2 linked regions of the Struthio camelus genome follow. The protein of the gene in region 1 purifies or fractionates together with the protein of each later gene. This does not show direct contact. Links are inferred from orthologs where the notes say so. Each region holds a gene or a part of one and is shown on either strand. Other genes may lie near its edges.

What was found. The genes of interacting proteins can lie anywhere in the genome.
Region 2: the proteins of SINHCAF (region 1) and BRMS1L purify together in Homo sapiens (affinity purification with mass spectrometry; 3 studies listed by BioGRID and IntAct, counting the BioPlex papers as one, with this or other methods). This does not show direct contact. The link is inferred for Struthio camelus from reciprocal best matches to the Homo sapiens genes SINHCAF and BRMS1L.

The regions. Positions count from the first base shown.
Region 1 is NC_090942.1:68,092,537-68,102,857, reverse strand, and holds the start of SINHCAF (SIN3-HDAC complex-associated factor), read right to left. Parts: upstream 3,930-10,321; 5' UTR 3,778-3,929; intron 2,264-3,777; exon of another isoform or gene 2,183-2,263; intron 1,171-2,182; 5' UTR 1,055-1,170; intron 1-1,054. UniProt on the Homo sapiens protein: Subunit of the Sin3 deacetylase complex (Sin3/HDAC), this subunit is important for the repression of genes encoding components of the TGF-beta signaling pathway.
Region 2 is NC_090946.1:55,614,534-55,624,007, reverse strand, and holds the start of BRMS1L (breast cancer metastasis-suppressor 1-like protein), read right to left. Parts: upstream 4,434-9,474; 5' UTR 4,050-4,433; coding exon 3,914-4,049; intron 1-3,913. UniProt on the Homo sapiens protein: Involved in the histone deacetylase (HDAC1)-dependent transcriptional repression activity. When overexpressed in lung cancer cell line that lacks p53/TP53 expression, inhibits cell growth.

The DNA.
Region 1 (10,321 bases):
GACTGCAGCTGCTATGATGTTGTTTGTATCCACCTGCTGCTGAAAAAGCACCATGGAGAGCTGAGGTCATTAGACACTGAAAAGGTCTTTTTAGAAGAAGATAAAATATCTGATAGGGTCTGCAAGGGAGGAAAAGGATACATGTAACAAAATGAGTGGAGTGACTTCATTATAAAGGATATATTTACAGTATCCGTAAGTATTACTGGAGACTTCATTTGGACTTTGGACTGACTGAGCACCTTCTAAAGAAATGCAAGAGCCCAAGTGGTGAAATGGAGTCCTGCCCCTCCATTCTGCTAATCTATCCAGTTTCCAGCCCTCTGTTCCCACCCCAGGCTTGCTGGCTTCTTCTTTTGTTAAAAAGCAAGTGCTAGAGAAGGTACAACCAACTTCTGCTTCAGACTGCATGCGGTTCATCGCATTCCGAAAGAAGTACGAATCATCAAGTGCTAATTAGAATCAATGCAAAGCAGTCTGGTGACCCAGAAAGAGCTGTTCAGCACAACTAAGATAACAAACCATCACAGTTTTAACATTGTTTATTTTTAACATGTGAGAATTTATCAGTTCATTTTCTTCTACTAAGCAGTAAAGGATGTTTTCTTTTTAAAGGAAAGACTGCAAGCTGTAGGCAACTAGCTCCCCTTTGAGAATCTCCTACTGGTTGGGAGAGAAGCACGGAGGAATTTTTCCCAGAGGCTCTGGGAAAGTTGATCCCACCTACTTTCAGGGGCAGCTGGATACTGCATGCCTGTAGATGTGTTTGAAAATCCCATGACTTGTTACTTACTGATTCACTACCACTGACTGCAGACTTCAAGAAACCTGGAATTTATTTTGGGGGGGGGGGGGGGGGGGGAAGAGAGCTTGGTGCCCACGGATGTCAGCAGAAAGACCCCTAGTTCACTGCTTGCCCCATGCTGTAGAGCACATGCAACTTTCTCTGGTCATTGAAGAAAACAGAAAACTACACAGTGAAGCTGGCTACGTGCACACTGAGGAGAAGGGGGTTTCCGCAGCGTATCGTGGCACGCGGCAGAAACAGTCTCACCTTTAGAAGTAAGTCCACGGGAGCAGCGGGGTTTGCTGAGGAACCGTCAAACCTCCTGCTTTGCCTTGCGTGAGGGTAAACAGGCGTCTCCACAGCTGTCAACCTATCCCCTTCACCTGAATTAAAATCGGAAAGGAAAAATAGCACTGCATCAGGATGTGTTAAAAGTATGCTCCTTAAGCCTCCAATGCAAAGCTCTTGAAGCTCTGGACTCAGTTCAGGACACTTGGCCTTCTCCTCTCTGCACCCACACGGGGATGGTGGCAGGGGCCTTGCCTTCAGCCCAGCGAAAAGACACGTGCTGTACACACCCAGGTTGAGGGACTGCTTCCTAGGCCAGCTGCCTGCAACCCTACGGTGCTGGAGCACAGCTCTAAAGTTTTTTGCAATTGTAACGATTATGAAATAATTTGGGCACACAGGACTGCCAGTCCCTAGAGAGCGAGCGGATGGTCGGGGACAAGGCCATCGGCAGGATGATCTGGGGCTATTCCTGCCAGGAGAGACTCGCCTGCGGGGCTGGGGGGAGCCACGGGGCAGGCAGCATTCAGCCCTGTGCCAACACGCAGTGGGGTAAACAACAGGTTTGGCAGGCCCCTTTAAACCCCTTCAGCTACGCATCCGGCGATGGGTGTAAAAAGGAGACGGCAATTTTTAATCCAATGAGAGATTTGAATGGAAGCCGTTTCCCCGGCTCAAAACAGCAAGTAAATAAATAATAGTAAAAAAAAAAAAGAAGAAGAAAAAAAAAAGTAACAATAACCGGGGATGCCCGGCAAAGTACAGTTTGAGCAGCCCGCGGGGGAGGCGCGCTGCCGGCACGCGGAGGCTGCGGCCGGTTGTCCGCCGAGCAGCGCGTGGCGCGGGGGCAGCGCGGTGGCTCCGCGCCCGCCCTCCGCGAACAAAGACCCCCGCCGGCTGGCGGCGGGGCCCACGACCTACTTTTCCGCCGAGCAGGTGGGCCGGGAGCCGTAGGAGCAGCCACCACCACCGCCGGCCCGCCCGCAACGCGCGCCCCCTCCCCTGCCCCCGAAGGGCGAAACGTGCAACTTCCAGAAAGCCCACATAAATATATATTAAAAAAAATTTAAAAAAAGTGCGGGGGGGGGGGGGGGACACGGGACTGACCAGGCGGCCCCGGCCCGGCCGCGCTGGCCCCAGCCGGGGCGAGCGGGGCTGCAGCCGCCCCCGGTGCGCGGCCGCGGCTCCGGGCGCCCCCCCCCGCCCCCGCCCGTCGCTGTTTCCTCATGGCTTTGCCCTGACGTAATTCAAACATGGCAACAGCCCCACTTCAAAGGGCAGAAGGGGTAGATACCCCCCCTCACCACCAACACCCCCCCCCGCCGCGGCCGGGGGCGCCAACGCAGCCCCCCCACCCCACCCCGGTACCGCGGACGGGGCTTCCCTCCCTGCGCGCCCCACACGCGCAAACACGCCCCCTCCTCCTCCGCCTCCTCCATGCACGCGGCGGCGTGGTACCTCGCGGCAGCGTGCGCGCATCCAAAGTTTCGCCGCCCCTCCAAAGTGCTCCCAAACCTGCAGCCAGCCCCTCAAACACCCCCCCCCGGCGCGGGGCACGCTCACTCCGGCCGGTCGGCGCCCCCCCCTCCCTCCCCTCCGCGTTTCCGCGCGCGGTCGGGCGCACACGCGGAGTCGCGGCGCCGGCAGCACATGGGAGCCCTTTGTTTTCCCCTCCGCCGGCTCCCGCCGACGTGCGGCACCCGGGAGCGGCCGGCCGCTCCGCGGGGCTCGGGGCAGGCGGCGAGGGAGCGCGCAGGCCCCCGCGGAAGCCAGAAGTTGCCCGTTGTCTGCGTGCGGCGCGGCGGCGTCCGGCAGCCGCTTTTGCCCCCGCGCTGCGCTGCGCTGGCGGCGGCGCCATCACCGCCCGCGCAGCGGCCCCGCGTGTCACCCCACCGCACGCGCACACTTCCCCCCCCCCCTATTTCGGGGCGGGCAGAGCCCCTGACCGCTCTAAAGAAGAAAAAAAAAAACAACAACAGGGGAAAAAAATTTAAAAATTCTAAAAAGTCAGCAAGCCGCCGCCCCCCACCCCCCCCCGCGGAAGGGGGGCGCCCGTGGTGCCCCCTCCGCTCCGCCGCCGAGCGGGCACCAACTTGTGCGCGGCAGCGCTACAGGTGTGCGGGCGCTGCGCAGGGCCGCGCCGCACCTGCGCCGCCCCCGCGCCCCGCGCAACGGCCGGGCCGCCCTCCCGGCGCGGCGGCGGCGGGGCTCCGCGCCCGCGGCCCCGGAGCGCTCCGCGGCTCCGTCGCCTGCAGCTAGATCGCGCTTCCTCTCGGGGGTTTAACGTTTTCATCTCACTTTGGGGTGGAGTGGGGGGGGGGGTCAAAGTCGGTGAGGGGGGTGTGCAACAATGCGGGAGGCGTTTCGCGACCGGAGCGGCTGCTTTAAACTCCACTACCTTTTTTTTTTTTTAAAAAAAAAAAAGGGGGAGGGGGGAGAGGAACGCCGCACACAGGAGCCATGCGTGTCAAACTGTTTCGGGCGGTAAAGTGTTCTCACTGTACCAAAACTAAGGACAGCCTCCAGGATTAACTTGCAACGACCACAAACCACCGACTGTTGCAAAAAAAAAAAAAAGAAAATAAAAAGAAAAAATAAAGGGGAGGGGAAAAAAAAGGAAAAGAGAACAAGAAATTCAAACCCGAGCCTCTCGCTTCTCATTGCCCAGACTTTCCTTCCCCTCTGCCCCCCGCGGCACTCACCTCAGCTCCCCGTGCACCCGCCAGCAGACCGCGAGCGTGCCCCGCCGCGCCGCGCTCTGCGCAGCCGCCCCGTCGCGCCCCGCTGCCTGCATGCAACCTCCGGGCCCGCGCGCGCGCGCGCGCCCCCCCCTCCTCTCATCTGCCCTCCCCTCCCCGCGGCGCGCGCCGCTCTGCGCACGCGCCGTTCCCACGGCCCCCATTCTACTCAATCGAGCCCTTTCGCTCGCGCGCCCCATTGTCCTTTTAAGGGAGAAAGGCCGCGCGGGAAGCCGGGGAGGAGGGGAGGTGTTGCCCATTGTGACGGCGGAGATGACTTCACTCAAACAGCCCGGCCGGGACGGGGCGGGGCCGCGCGCGCGCGCCGGGGCCGGGGCCGCTGCCGCCAGTCCCGCGCTGCCCCCGCGCGCGCGTGGCGCTGCCTCCGCGGACCGGGCACCTGCCCCGAGCCGAGCCGAGCCGCCGGCCGCTGCGGGGGGCGGGCAGCGCGGGCTCACCTTCCCCCTACGTCCCGTTCGCGTCGGGCATTTTTCAGCCTGCGAAATTCCCCAAACAAACAAAACCCCACAGAAGTAAAAAAAAAAAAAAAAAGGGGGGGGGCTCTCAAATCGCTAAGCATTGCGCAACGTGTCCCCTTCCTTTTTAAAACGCTGACACTGTTTTGTCAGTAGACAAACAAACAAACAAACAAAAATCTCGCAGCTACTCTACTCCCAGCCTTAGGTTTGCGAAACGCACCTAGGTTTTCCTCTCCCAGGCGACGTTGACACCAATGATAAAACTCAATGAACTCATTGGCTAAGGGTCACGTCTCCTGGGCGTAAGAGGCGGGAAGATCCTCCCCCCCCTCCCCCCCCCCCGTAGGAGTCAGTTTAGCGCGCTGTGAAAATGCTCGGCGTGCCTCACGTAATTTTTCGTAGTGTGTCAGAATGAGTGGTTTAAAAATTCACCTCATTGCAACCTTTTCTTCGCGGTCTTTGTGCAATTCGGGAAGCGCGGCCCCACTGTACATCTGGCGAGCTGTGTTGAAATAGAGTTCCTTTAAAAACCATCTACGTCAGGAGGATTAGTGTGATATACAAGGTAACGCTTAGGCAGTTACTCCTTAGCGCCACTACAGCGCACAACTATGATAAAACCACAAGCTACTCCCTTTCGGGCTTACACTCACGCCAAGCCCTAGTACCGAGCACCTTCTTTCTAGCGAGGTAAACGCTAAAGTTTCCCACAGAATCTGCAGCAGCTCAGGCACAGGGGGCATTTTTTTTTTGTTTAATACACCATAAGATGAAAATAACGGGGATGAGGAACTTTACAACAAATGATTTTAACTTGATGGCGACCTTTCTGGTCTAGCTGAGGCACAGGTTTAGCAAATCACCTGGACCACTTGGCGAAAGTCTCTTGCCGCTTGCGGCAGCCCTGGCTGACCCCCCCCCCCACCCCGAGGTTTTCAATGAGAGCAGGCCTGGCTACTTTTCTTTATGTTCGGCTGAGCACCTAACATTAGCCCTACTTGCCTGCAAATCCATGGTAATGCCATGCCATTTCCTTCCTCAGTGCTACCAAAACAAGTCAATTTGGGCACAAAGCATAGGAGGCCTTCTCCAGAGGAGACGGGACGGGCTTAGCTGGGAGAGAGAACTTTTTTGAATGATCACAGTGTGTCTTCATTGTTGCCTGTGCTTAGTTCCCGACACGGCGGCATCAAACCACTTTAAACTTTTGAGACGTGAGTGTAACTGCTGCTGAATGGTTTCCCCAAATGTATATATTTTTAATTTTACTGATTTTAACTAATACTACAGAACTCTACCAGCTCTTTCAGTAGCTCTTGTAATTATCTGCAAGCGTGATCCACCAAGAATATACTATGTTATTTAGTATTTAGTTATTTAGTATTTGCATATAACATCTGCTCGTTTTTATCTGCCACTTTCTTTTTGGGTGTGGAAGCCATTCTCCCAGGGTTTTTTTTTTCAGTGCTATCTCTTTGTTTCTTCTCTACAATTGTGAAGCCCCTCCAGCGACTCACCTTTTAGCCTAGCTCCTGTATGTGTCTGCAGGGGCCATCTCGTACAGTCTTTAGCGCTCCAGATGAGGATGAAATGGCGTTTTCAAGGAGACTCCTTGTGCGTATCGAGCAATGGGTGCACCAGGTTGAACAGAAATAATCTCTTGGTGCCTGCCATTTACCACCCTCCCTAACCACACTGAACAGGAGCGGACTGACCAAAAGTAGGCTTTGACCGCCTACAAACTGGGGCAAGGGCGACTGCTCAAATACTTGTTTCTCAGCTTCATATCTTTACACTCCAAATCTCCTACAAATCCCAAAGTGCAGTGGAGGATGTAGGCTTCTAACTGACAATAAAGAAAAAGGTGCTTAAGAACAGCTGATGGTGTAACTAGGGGAGAATGTGAGTTTCTGAACACTGTACTGCTCTGGCCTGTGACGGCTTGGCCATTCCTGCCCTCTCAAAGCAAAACAGCTCCTCTCCACAAAAGTCCCAATAGGAACATATAAATGAAAACATGGTGCAAAAATCTTCACTTCTGAAACACCTCAGGCTTCCTTTTGCCAATGACATTGCAGAGCTATCCTATTACTTCACAGTGATTTGAATTTTCAGCTTTGGCAGGCCAAAGCTTGCCAGCTTGCAAACAAGTAACAGGTATTTAATTAGTAAATGAGCTTCCACTGAGGTTCCTCGAGCCCCTTGACCTCGAGCAAGCCACTTGTGCTCCCCACAGCACCGGAGGGACACCCTGTCTGTCCTCGCTACATGGAAAGAGGGTGATTAACAATTGCCCCAAATATGGAAGAACCTGAAGGAGTTTAATATGAAAAGTGCAGATACGTGAAAAAGTACCTGCTCCTGTTTTTCAGGGGTGCCAAGGTTACAGAAAAAGCCTTATTTGACAAGGCTCTTAGCTGTATGCTCTTTTAAAAACTTAAGTATATTTGCACTCTGAGTTTGGTATAAACGAGGAATATGGGACTCTGTAGAGATCCCAGGAGACCTGGAATGTAAGCCTTAGGCCAGAGGATTTGCTCTCGTCTAGGACAGTACTTGAAAACCTTACTTTTAAGTTTGCATGTGGTCCCTGGAAAGCTAGAGGGATTATTGCTGTTTTCCCATTAAACATGTACCTTTTCTGGATGGGATCTTAATTGCTTTAGCCGAAAAGCTAAAATATGCCAATGTTATAATAATAAAGCTAACCAAAAGGTTTGTCTTTAATACAAAATATACATATGTCATGAATACTGGGACAGAGGAGCTAACACAGATAAAAAGTAAGACATTAGTCAGCTAAGGCACCTGATCCTGTTGTGTTATTTTTCAATATCAATGAATAAATAAACATGAATAGGCTACTTGTTGTTAGGTGAAAAGCAGCTGTCAGAACCAAACCTAGGCAGCTGTTGCTGCTTTAAGATGTCACAGTAAATGGCTTTTTACAACTCGAGTCATTTTAAAATGTGCTTTACTGGCTAAAATCCTGTTTAAAATCCTGTTGAAAAATTACTAGGGGTTCATTCAGAAACTAAAGTGTTGATTCACCTACAATTCTGAATAAGATTTGCCAAGGGGTAAAATTTAAGAGGGAGATATCAACAGATCAGTTCTGCAGCGCTCGCTTGCACTGGTGGGCTGTATGAGTAACAGCATATTAATTTTTCAAAGGCACAAAAGTTCGTAGGACTGGATAGTTTGAAGCAAACAGGACAATGAAGAAATGCGATCTTTTTCTCCATTATGCTTTAGGCTAAGTGTCAGATGGCTGCAAATATACAGTGATAGCAAAGTCTGGTGATAATGAAAATAGATACTCATGCTGCCAGAGTGAAGTACCTGCTGCCAGAAGTGGAGCACCTAAGTTCTGCGGATCACCAAGGCAGGACTCCTGAATTGGTTCACTCCTATGAACAAGGCAGCACATTTATAGCCCATCCCAAATAAGAAAGCCCTGATGGTTTAACAGAGATTGATCACCTTGAAGAATTTTTTTAAATTGATATTTAGAATTCTTTAACAGGAAAATAAGTCTCTTAAATTCTTAAGGATTGCTCAAATTCTATAGCAAAAAAGATCAATTTCTATTACTGTGCAAAAATCTCTAGTGCAGCTTCTCACAAACACTACTCATTTCTTTGCAACGCTATTGCTTTCATCCCTATTCAAACCAATAAGGCTATTCTATGAGGATTTATATTAAGGCGATTTGAAGACACCATTAAGAAGATCAGCCCTCTCTGCCTGCCAGGCTCTTTCCTGTGAGGGAAGTTATCCCCTCTTATCCTGTCATTTGAGGAAGTTCTGAAAATGGAGATCAAATAATTGCAAACCCAAAGGATGTTTCTCCTCTGAACCGAGAGGCCAGTCTTTCCCAGATGCACATGGATAAGTGCAAGATTTTATAGTGGCAGAGTCAGACTAATCTCTAGGGAAGATTAGTCTATTGGCAGCAGGGTTTTTGGTTTCTGTGACCATGGGACCCTGTCTGAAGATCAACAGCTGTTGGGGAGAGATGGGATCCACCTCACCAAGCGGGGCACGCGTGTCTTTGCCAACAGGTTGGCCAGCCTAGTAAGGAGGGCTTTAAACTAGGAAAGATGGGGGAAGGGGAATGGTATAGTGACACGGTAGTCAGTAAAACACCGCTCGAGTCAGGATGCCTCCAGCGGGTGCATGCAGCCAGGGGACACAGCATGCAACGTGGCTATGGAGGCTCCTCTTGCACCTCTCCTGGGAAGCTTACATGCTCGATTGGCTCTCTGAAATGCCTGTACACTAACGCATGCAGCATGGGGAATAAACAGGAAGAGTTAGAGATCTGTGTGCGGTCGCAGGGCCATGATCTCGTTGCAGTTACAGAGACATGGTGGGATAGCTCACATGACTGGGATGCTGTCATGGATGGCTATGTGCTTTTTCAGGAAAGACAGGCCAGGAAGGCGAGGTGGTGGAGTTGCCCTTTATGTGAGGGAGCAGCTGGACTGCATGGAGCTCTGCCTCGGGGTGGATGAAGAGCAAGTTGAGAGCCTATGGGTAAGGATTAAAGGGCAGGGTAACATGGGTGACACTGTTGTGGGGGTTTACTACAGGCCACCTGACCAGGAGGAAGTGGTCGATGAGGCCTTCTACCGACAGCTGGAAGTAGCCTCACGATCACAGGCCCTGGTTCTCGTGGGAGAGTTCAGCCACCCTGGTATCTGCCTGGGAAGAGAGCACAGCTAGGCACAAACAGTCCGGGAGGATCCTGCAGAGGATTGATGATAATTTCTTGACCCAGGTGGTGGAGACGCCAGCGAGGAGAGGTGTGCTGCTGGACCTTGTACTAACAAACAAAGAAGGTCTAGTTGGAGATGTGAAGGTTGGGGGCAGCCTTGGCTGCAGTGACCATGAGATGGTGGAGTTCAGGATCCTATGAGGAAGAACCAGGGCAATAAGTAGGATCGCAACCCTGGACTTCAGGAGAGCTAACTTTGGCCTCTTCAGGCACCTACTTAGGGGAATCTCATGGGGTAGGGCCCTAGAATGAGGGGGGTGTCCAGGAGAAGTGGTTAATATTCAAGAATCACCTCCTCCAGGCTCAAGAGCAGTGCATCCCCCTGAGTAAGAAGTCCAGCAAAGCGGGCAGGAGACCTGCACGGATGAGCAAGGAACTACTGGCAAAACTCAAACATAAGCAGGAAGTGTACAGAAGGTGGAAAATGGGACAGGCCACTTGGGAGGAATACAGGGATGTTGTCAGAGTATGCAGGGATGCGATGAGGAAGGCCAAGGCCCATTTTGGAATTAAATTTAGCAAGAGATGTCAAGGACAACAAGAAGGGCTTCTTCAAATGCATCAATAGCAAAAGGAAGACTAGGGAAAACATGGGCCTGCTGCTGAATGGAGTGAGTGCCCTGGCAACAGAAGACACAGAGAAGGCAGAGTTGCTGAATGCCTTCTCTGCTTCAGTCTTCACTGCTAAGGCCAGCCCTCAGGAATCCCTGACCCAGGAGATCAGGGAGAAAGTCTGGAGAGAGAAAGACTCTCCCTTGGTCAAAGAGGACTGAGTTAGAGATCATTTGTCCAAACTTGACATCCACAAATCCATGGGCCCTGATGGGATGCACCCACGAGTGCTGAGGGAGCTGGCGGATGTTATCGCTAGGCCACTCTCCATCCTCTTGGAAAGGTCCTGGAGATCAGGAGAGACACCTGAGGACTGGGAGAAAGCCAATGTCACCCCAGGCTTCCAAAAGGGCAAGAAAGAGGAGCCAGGAAACTCCAGGCCTGTCAGCCTCACCTGCATCCCTGGAAAGGTGATGGAACAGCTCCTCCTGAAGGTCCTCACTAAGCATCTGGAGGACCAGAAGGTGATCAGGAGTAGTCAGCGTGGATTCACCAAAGGGAAATCATGCTTGACCAATCTGATAGCCTTCTATGACGGAATGACTGGCTGGGTAGATGAGGGGAGAGCAGTGGATGTGGTCAACTTGGACTTCAGCAAAGCTTTTGACACCAGAAGGCTGTGCTGCCATTCAGAGGG
Region 2 (9,474 bases), on another chromosome or scaffold:
CAAAATCTTTTCTTCTTTTTCTTATTGATTTTAATTAAGATATATTTCTTACTGTGCTTATCATTTTACATCTGTAGAAGCAACATGCTTCCATGGGACATGGTCATATTTGTCAAGACATTGAGACAAGCATGTAGTTTTCTGTAATCATTGCTATTTAAGTTTTTCCTTAGAAGCAGTTCTCCATGGAATGCAGCAGAAATTATATGCAGCGTTTCTTGTTTTGTTTTAAAGAACTATCCACAGATTATATTGTCTTAAAACAAAGTTTTCCTCCCTCTTCCTCCCTCTAATCTCAGAAGACATCAAGACAATGGCAAGACAATAGAATTATTTGCCTTCAATTAAAAAAAAAAAAAAAGAAATCAACTGAAGTGTCATTGTGGACATGCAAACTTCAAAATTTGCCTTTAAGAATATTACTTTGCAAAGCTACAAACAGGAGCAAAGGCAAGTTTTGAAAAGGAACCAACCTCAAAGTCAGTGGCTGGAACTATCAGAAACCAGTTCTCTTTTCATTAGAGCCAGGGAGTTGGAGGAGAGAGTTAAGTTTACTTCTCTCATACCAAGCTCCCTTTCTTACACAGCAAAAGACATTCTTTGTCTCCAGCTAATCTAAAAATGGGCACTCCCAGACAACATCTAACTACAACACAAACTGGAAGTCTAAGATGGGTTGACTAGCAGGGATTATCATTGCAGTGCAGCTCTTGGACCTCCTTGAGGAGTCCTTCATCACCTTGTGTCTCACCCACTTACTGTCTAATTAATATGTTAAGCTTGTATTCCCCCTTTACACTCTACATGTTTTCCCCTGAAAGACTTAAACTTCACTCTACTATGTATGGTGGTACTTCTTGAAAAATAGTTGCCTCCAGGAGGGAAGAGCTGTTTCCATGAAGTTCTTATCCAGAATGCTGTATTGCCATTTTATCTCATGAATGCTTCTAATAATAAAAAATTGATACTTACTTTCATAAATCATATCTGAAAGGAAGAGAGCAGGCTGTTATGCAAACAAGGATATGCTTTTCCAGTTCAAGATATGATTACCTCACCTCCAGCTGCTTGTCCCTATACCCTCACTCAAGCTTGCCTTTCTTCCAGCATAACCACCAGCACACACAGACGCTGCATGGGTTTCATCAAAGCAACCCAAGACAGTTGAAGCACTTTTTTTAGTTTTATTTTTAAACTGCATCATTTTGACAGAAAGGGAGTAAGGGGCAATTAATTGGGCCCACCTGTTTACAAAAACTGTGCCCACACTCATGTTTCAGTGCAGAGCCACGGCAGAGTTTTGAAGACTGCCCCATAACTAGCCCAGCTTTCCATGCACTGGGTCATTTTGGAGTACTTTTGGTAATTACAAATCAAATTCTTTTCCTATCAAATTGACTCCAAAGCTTTGCTGCAGGTACCTGACAAACGTGCTCAAACATCTGTGGAGAACAAAAGGACTTGAAATAATGACTTTTCCTTGAGGCAGCTTCCAGTGAAATACGTTTCTAGCATCAGGCTAGAAAATCTGAAATTAAACCCTAGCTACTTTAGAGATGTAGGGGCCTCAGCACTATCCGCTTATATATTCTGATTTTGCCAGACAATTTAAAGTAGTTCACTTATGTAGACACCAATAAAACTACGTTTATAATAATTTTGCAAGCCCACACCTGGATGTGGTCCACCATTCGCTAACTGAAGAGATTTCCTGCACGCTATCACACTATACAAGAGAAGCAAGATGTTCCCTCAGAAAAGGAAACAGCCCAGAATTTAAGAACTCCCTGCTCCAGGAGACCTCTTGTCTAAACCCATGCAAGTCATTAGTCCCAAATTCACAAAAACGAGTAGGTGTCAGACTAAATCATTTAAGTTGGAGGTATTTACATATCTTTACACAATGGCAATTTAAAACTGCAGCTCCACAGCAGCAGAAGCCAATCTAACTGCTGGTTTACATAGTCCCTCGTGCCTCCCACTGTCACACACCAGTCTCTTCACTAAGTCATTTTCACATAGTACATTGGAAGAAAATTATTCCTTTTTTATGGGTTATTTTTCTGACAGCTTAGCATGCAAAGGCTCAGTAAGCCCTGGAGACCATGCAGGAAAGGGGACAAGAGAGTATGGTATACTAGGAAGGGCGCGTAGAGAAGACAGGCAGGACCATAGCAGCCTGCAATTTGATTCATGTGGACAGACATGGACCAGGAGCCTAAACTGTAAAATGGGGCTCAACTAGCAATATTTTCCAGCTCAAAGGAACTGGGGGGGGGGGGGGGGGGGGACGATGAGGAATGGGGTAGAGGAAGAAGAAAAACAAAACCAAAAATATAAAGCTCCATATCAACTGTGGGCAGATTACCTAGATTAGTAGATTAACCAAGGCCTCTACTGGAGGACCACCTCTTGTCCAAACTGAGCATCAACCTAGAGTAAGGCCTAAGGGCACGGCTATACTCCTCCCCAGTACAGCAGCCACACTTCCCCAGCAAGGACAAAGTCCTCACTCTACTTTTGCAGAGCTAACTTGGCTGTCCCTGTACCACACTTGCAGTGCTCCAGCACCTTGTTAGCTAACACACTGCTCCAGACATGGTCACGCTGTGTGAGTCCACAAGGAGCCAGAGCTGGGCTTTCCAAGAAACTGAAGTCAGTGTGAATATAAGAGCCACAGAACTTTTCATCCAAGACATCCCAGATCTTATAACATCAAATGACGAAGGAATTAACTGTACACTGGGAATTTTAACACACTCAGGTACAACAATCACTGGTCCACATAAATAGCTAAAAATGTAATTTCACAGCTAACTAGTCGAATTTATATTTTGCCACTCCTTGCACAGTGCCAAGCCTGGCACTCATAACACTGGTCAGTGTGCAGGTGCAAGCGTGGGATAGGATCATGGCAGACGAAACTACCAGAAACACACCTCAGGATCAGAGTTTCTCAGTGTTTTTCAGCTAGCACTTCTAGTGACAAAGATACTACCCGAATCAGCAGATATCTATAGAGCCCTGGTGATTTCAGGCTAGTAGTGTGCATGTTTGATGATCAGTACTTTTCCCAACAAAAGGCCATCTTATAATTCAGCCCTTTGAATTATAAGGGACCTTGGAATAGACAACTTTCTTCTAACACAGAGAAAATTGGAGAAAAGGTAGTCCTTTTAAAGCCTGGATTTCACATACTAACATCAATCTCTGCCTACAATCCAGATGAAGTTACGGGAAAGAGAAGACGGGATTTTCAATAGGGTAGAGGCATAAAAGCTTTGCAGAAGTGGCAGGCAGTGCTGGCATGACTTCACAGACAGGCCTCAAGAGGTGAGCAGAAGAAAATTTAAACCTCATTGAGGCTGATGATTTTGCGTAAAGGAAAATACACATACGCATTTTATACACAAACAGAAAAAGAGATCGTGCGTGTTTGTGTGTGTGCGCGTGTCTACATAAACACACACACACACACAGAGCTCTTGAAGCGAGGACCTCAGGCGAGCACCTCCCCCCGCAGCGGCCCTGCACTCAAGCCCAGTCGGGCACAGCCGACAGCACTCCCCCAGCGCGGCGCGGCCCGGCCCGGCCCGCCAAGCGCGGGCGGCGGCCGGCTGCGGACCAGGAGACTCGGCTCGGCTCAGCTCAGCTCAGCTCAGCCCGCCGCGGGGCTGCGGCTCCCGCCTCCCCGCCACGGCCACCGCCGGGCCGGCGGCCCGGGGAGCGGCGGCGGGGCCGGGGCGGCGGGAGGGGCGGGGTCACGGCACGCGGGGGGCGGCGGGGGGGGCCGCCCCCGGAGCGGGGGGCAGGGCGAGGCCGGTGTCCCCTCAGGGGAGGGCGCCGGCGGCTGCGGGAACCGCCGCGGCACCCGCCCGGGCCGAGGGGCTTCCCCCGCGGGCGGCCGCGGTACCTGAGCTGTCCCCCTCCTCGGATACGGACGAGCTCTCGGTCTCCTCCTCCTCCGAGCTGCTGCCCTCGTTCTCCCCGTAGTCCACCTCCATCTCATCGTGGTTGGTCTCCTTCTTCTCCCGGGAATGGACCGGCATCGTCCCCGCCGCCGAGCCCTGGGACAACCCTTCCCGCCGCCGCAGCTGCTGCCGGCCCCTCCCCCCCTCACCCGGCGGGCACAACCTACGCCGCCCGGCGCCCTCCTCTCGCTCCCATTGGGCGAGCTCCACGCAGGAGGGGCGGGCTCTGCAGCAGGGCCGGCAGGCTAGGTTAGCGCGTGCGCGAGGCACCTTGGGAATTGTAGTCCGCCAGGAGCTGCACGGAGGGAGGGAGGAGGAAGCCGCCGCTCATGGCTGTGGGGGCCCGGAGTAGGGGGGGGAGGGGGGCGGCGGGGCCGCGGCTTCTTCCTGCCCATTCCCGGGCCACCCTCGGGACTGCTCCTCACTGAAAGGCTCCATGGTGGTCGCACACCTGGCCGCGTCTCCGGCTGGTAGCGGGGGCGGGCCTGGGCCCTGCGGGCCGCGCCCGGCACCGCCGCCGCCCGGAGCAGCGACGCGGGCGGCGGGAGCCCGGCTCCGCCGCGGCCTGCCCCCCGCCTCCCCCCCGCCCGTCCCCCCGGAGCCACGCCGTAACCCGGCGCTTCGCCTCCCGGCAAGGCGTCCCGGTCCCCGCTCGCCCCCTCTTCCTAACTTTCACATCGCGGGACGCATTTCAAGTTAAGCTAGACTGAATTTAATCCCCTAAAACAGGCAGCGACCAGTAGGAGTGGACGTGAGAAAGGGCTCTGAGGGTGTGCTGCAATTTGTGCAGGGTTCGGGTAGGTTTCATGGCTTTGAGTATCAGTGTTTTTCCACTCGTTTGCTAATTGCCACTAATTGTGCTATGTATGACGTACTGAACAGGAACGGCACTTGTCGGAGCAAGCCGTCGGAGCTGTCACCCTGCTACCAGCAATGGGTTAGCTCCACTTCAGGACACACACAGGCAGGGAAGTCCTGCAGGGATTGTCAGGAGCCATGAAATATGTGCTCATGGCCTACAGGTAAGCACGGGCAATATCTCTGAGAAAAGTGTTAAGGCTAAGGTGAGGTAGTTTGTATAGCACAGGCTGAGTTTATAAGTTTGGGCCAGGTTTAAGTAGTACTGTGTGTCCCAGTGATGTGCTGTGACATTGCTCCAATGAGAAGTAAAGGTTATATTGCCAGGCAGTAGCATTTCTTCATGTCAAGAGATCCAGATTTAGTCACTCTATGCAATTTGGAAGGATGTATTATACAGGTGATATTTTGGGGCAATAAATAACTGCCAAGCTTCCCTATGGACTTCAGCCTCTGTGGAAATACTTACCTTACCATAACCACTGCTGTTTTTTAGTCATTGCTTTTTTTTCCTGAAGCATCCCACATCTCCGCATATATAGAACAACTCATTTCCCCTCTCCACCCAAGAGAGTACACTGATGTGCCACCTCTTCTCCAAGAACACAAATGCCAAGACTAACATAACGATAGTTGTTGAAGGGGAGAAATATTGGACAAAATTAACCACCTCCTATCTTTCACTATTCAAACTCAATCCCTTCCTTTTCAACGTTCTGGTCAATGTTCAAACCAGCATTGTTCTGGTTTTCTCGGGCCTCTTAGCTAACTGGGGGCCACGGAGAATCTGGTATGCTTTACCCACACTTTGATTTAATCCATAATGAGTTTTATAATTATAGGTCTATGGTATGAAACACCTGTAACTTTTAAAAGCAGCCAGTGTACACAGAAATTAATATTTTCTTAGATCTGCAATACTAGGCACCTTTCGCTGCTGAAGATGCGCACCTCCATCTCCTGCCTCTGCTTCCCAGAAGCGCTTTTCCCGCTCCAAGGGCTCCATCAGGCCTTTCCCTCACACCTCCCCCTGGGGCCCAGTCCTGCTCTGGTAATGGCACAGCCACGGTGGGCTGGGCCTCAGCAGGACAGTCACGCGTGCTGTGCGCCACCCGGCAGCCACGGGGCACAGGGCCAGGCGTGCTGCTGCCGGGGGCCCAGCTCGACCTGGGAGCACAGCTGCTGCCACCTGCCCTGCACAGGCCGAGATGTTAGCTACGGGCTAGCAGAAAGGAGCCAGAGCGATGTTTAAGGAGTTGCCACTTAACGACTTTTGATCTGTAAGGAAACTGGATTTTTTTTTCCCCCCTAGTGGTTGGGTTATTTAGAAAAGCAATAACAACCAACTGCGTCCACAGGTTTTCCTTGTCTAGAAACAACTTCTGGGACCCCGACATCTGACCAAGTGCTGGTTCATACCGTTTTAAAAATTAGAGGCAGTTACCAAGGAAATGCATAGTAAGCTGCTGTTCCTTTGAACTACCTTTGAAAGTGTTAACGGTGGTGTCAGAAATTAAAACGGCTAAAAGGAATGAAGAGAAGGCCTGAAACATGAGCTGGAGATCTCCCCAGAGGAAACTGGTGAATTTCACAAGCTGGATCTGAAGTTTCACTTAAGGGATCCATAGAGAACTGAGGAACTGACAAAAAGAAACCAGAATAAAATATGTCTGAAATTGAAAATTCCCGTTTGGGGCTGGCAAGATAAAAAGGCTAGAAATCAAATGTTCTGGACAGATCAGAAGAACTGACTGGAAACAGTGGCAGGGGAAGGAATGGCAGGAAATCAGGAAACCTTTGGCCTATTTGTAACTTCCTAACTGAAGAGGGAAGCTAATAATAAGCCCCAGAAGGAAATTAAAGTTCCCGTGCCACGGTGGAAATAAGCAACCGTGATGGGGAATTGAGCCAGAAAAAGCATTTTAGTAAGATAAGATTTTTATGTGTTTCTTTTATTCTGTTTGTGTCCATGGGGCAGGAATGAAATTACCCAGCTATAGCAATACAAACGTTTACTGTCTTGGGGGACAGGGTGGGTGGAAGGAAAAACTGTACTGGTTGAAGTTGACCTCACTGTCCAAATGGATTACTGAAAAAAAAAAAAAAAGAATGGGCTATCTCCAGCAGCTATAGACAGTGTTGATGGCACAGTACCACTTGTTCCCAGAATTAAAGTGACTTACCCAGATCACCTACAAGCCCGTAACATACCAGGTAGCAGCAGCTATCTTGCTAGAGCCCAGCTGTGTGCTAGAAGGAAAGGGGAAAGGAAGAAACTAGCTGGCTTGTTAGAAGACTTGCAAAGACTTGTATTCTTGCTGTGAGAAGATACTAGCAAGGGCGTAATAGTCAGCTGCCAGAGGACCAATCTATAGGTTTAAAACCATGTCAAGATCAGTGAAAGGAAGCACAGGAGGTCTGCAAAGCAATATAATTTGTATATCATGAGTTTTCCCCTTCACCAGAGTAAAATAGCCATTAAGAAGTAAATCTTCATGATCCTTGTCAGCTCATGTTTTAAAGCGTGTGATGAAATGGAATCCGCATCTAGTATGCGATATTTGTGAACAATTAGAAAGAGAGATAGTCCATCAGCAGGGACAGTTGGCAATAATGCAAAATTAGAGAGTAGTAATTATGTTAAAAGCTGATACTGGAAAAAATTTGGACACAAAAAGCGTGGTTATAAATAACATGCTGGCCAGCACAGACCATGACAGATGGTGAAATCTCCTTTCCCAGTTTGGGAGAGAGGAGGATGATTGAAGATGGGAGCTCACACATGAAGAGGAGGAGCTTGGAAATGCAAGCATCAGCTTCACAACACTTAATCTGGACATTTAAACCAATAACAGGAATCTGGCTATTGAACAACATCTGTGGAAAACACAGAAAAGTGGAACCTGGCACAACATGGTAGCTATTAGACCAGACATGTTCAAAAACAACTAGGAAGCAGAGACTCTGTAATTTTACACCTAATTTGCTGAATGGAGACAGTGACTGCAAATACATATCACTCCAGAATCTGGAAAGCTGTTATTATCTTTCGATTATCAAACTGATTACCAGCTTTCATTGTAGCAAGTAACTGCATAATGAATAATCCTACACATTTCTAAGTGCTTTACAAATCCTTATTAGAGAAGTGGCCTGGTGCAAAAAAAAGAAAAAGATACATGTATCAGTTTTGAAATGTTTCTGCCTCTCAGGGACTGAAGCCATGATAACTATACTTCAAAAGAAAGGTGGGAGTGGTTGAAACCTGTTTGAGAGCAGGTTTCAAGAAAGTCCTAGGTTTTCTGCATGTGAAAATGGAAAAGATCCCTGTTAATTTGCTGGATGTTTCTGACAAGGAAAAGATTCTACAGAGAGAAGCCAAAGATGCAGAATGTGAGTCAGTAAGACACAGGAATAGATGAAACCCTCAAGGAGAACCAGGGACAAAAGAGTTTCTGTTGGATTTGGTCCAATATAGTGCAGTACATTTTGATGGGTTTGAAGTATCTTCTGGTTAGGAGTTGTTCTCCCAGTTCAGAGACATAGTTTATCTTGCACTGGGCATCACAAGATTGATTGTTGGGGGGCAAGGCAAAGGGGGCAGGACGCAGTATATATCATTAATGATAAAAAAAAGAAGCCTCACAGAGAAATTTATCTGGAAGTTACACAAGAGGTTTTAGTCAGTCGCAGGGCCTCATCTATAGTTAGGTTTAAGAAAGAAGTGGAAGCACAGGGTTGTTTGTGAACTCTTGAAAACTGAATTCGGTCACTTTGAATAATTTTTATGCATTATCACAAAGAAATGATACACTGGGATGCTCTAGCAAATTAAATCTGATTCTTCACACTCAATTTCAAAGTGCAATATTAGGAGATGGGTCACAAGAAGAAGGAAAAGACTATTCTCCCAGCAGGACAAGGTCAGCAGCAAGTTAAAGTCTTCGCTGTATGCCAGCAACTAGCTGTGTTGGAAGGCTATTGGATCATGTTCTTCCCTCACCTCGTGTATTTTCTAGGCAAGATATTCTGCCATGTGTTGCAAATGGTCTCAAGTAAGCTTAGAACTACAATCAAAATAAATCCATAATTCTAAAGCCCCCTTTTATTCCTGCCAGTAAGGTAGCGGGAGAGAGGGAGGCAAAATATTCCCACTGATAGAAGGGAAATAATCTGTACATAACTGGTCCTCTCCCAAGGGCTGGCAGACATGCAGAGTTTCTGCAGGGCTCTTCTGGAAGTTCATTTGCGAGTTTGTCAGTATTGCAAAATTATTTCATAGGTTGGGAAAGAAAAAGAAAACATCTCAGTGGCTGAGAGACCATGACTGAGCATTTTCGGTTGGAAAAAAAAAAAGCGGTTTTAACTGCCACTGTATCAGTATATTCATGTTTCAAAACCTCTTTCCTATCTGATATGGATACTTGCGCTTACATAAGAGCACAAACATTATGAGGTGAAGGTGACTTAGCATAGCTAAAGTCTAAGTTCTCTGGCACCACTGGACAGGAATTAGTAATTGGTTACATCTCTTAAAAATAGCTTTCACATATATGACAGTTTCTGGTGATGAGAGACCATACATTCCTTGTGTTTCAGCATGGCTGACATCATCTTAGCATACTAAGAAAGCAAAGCTTAGGTA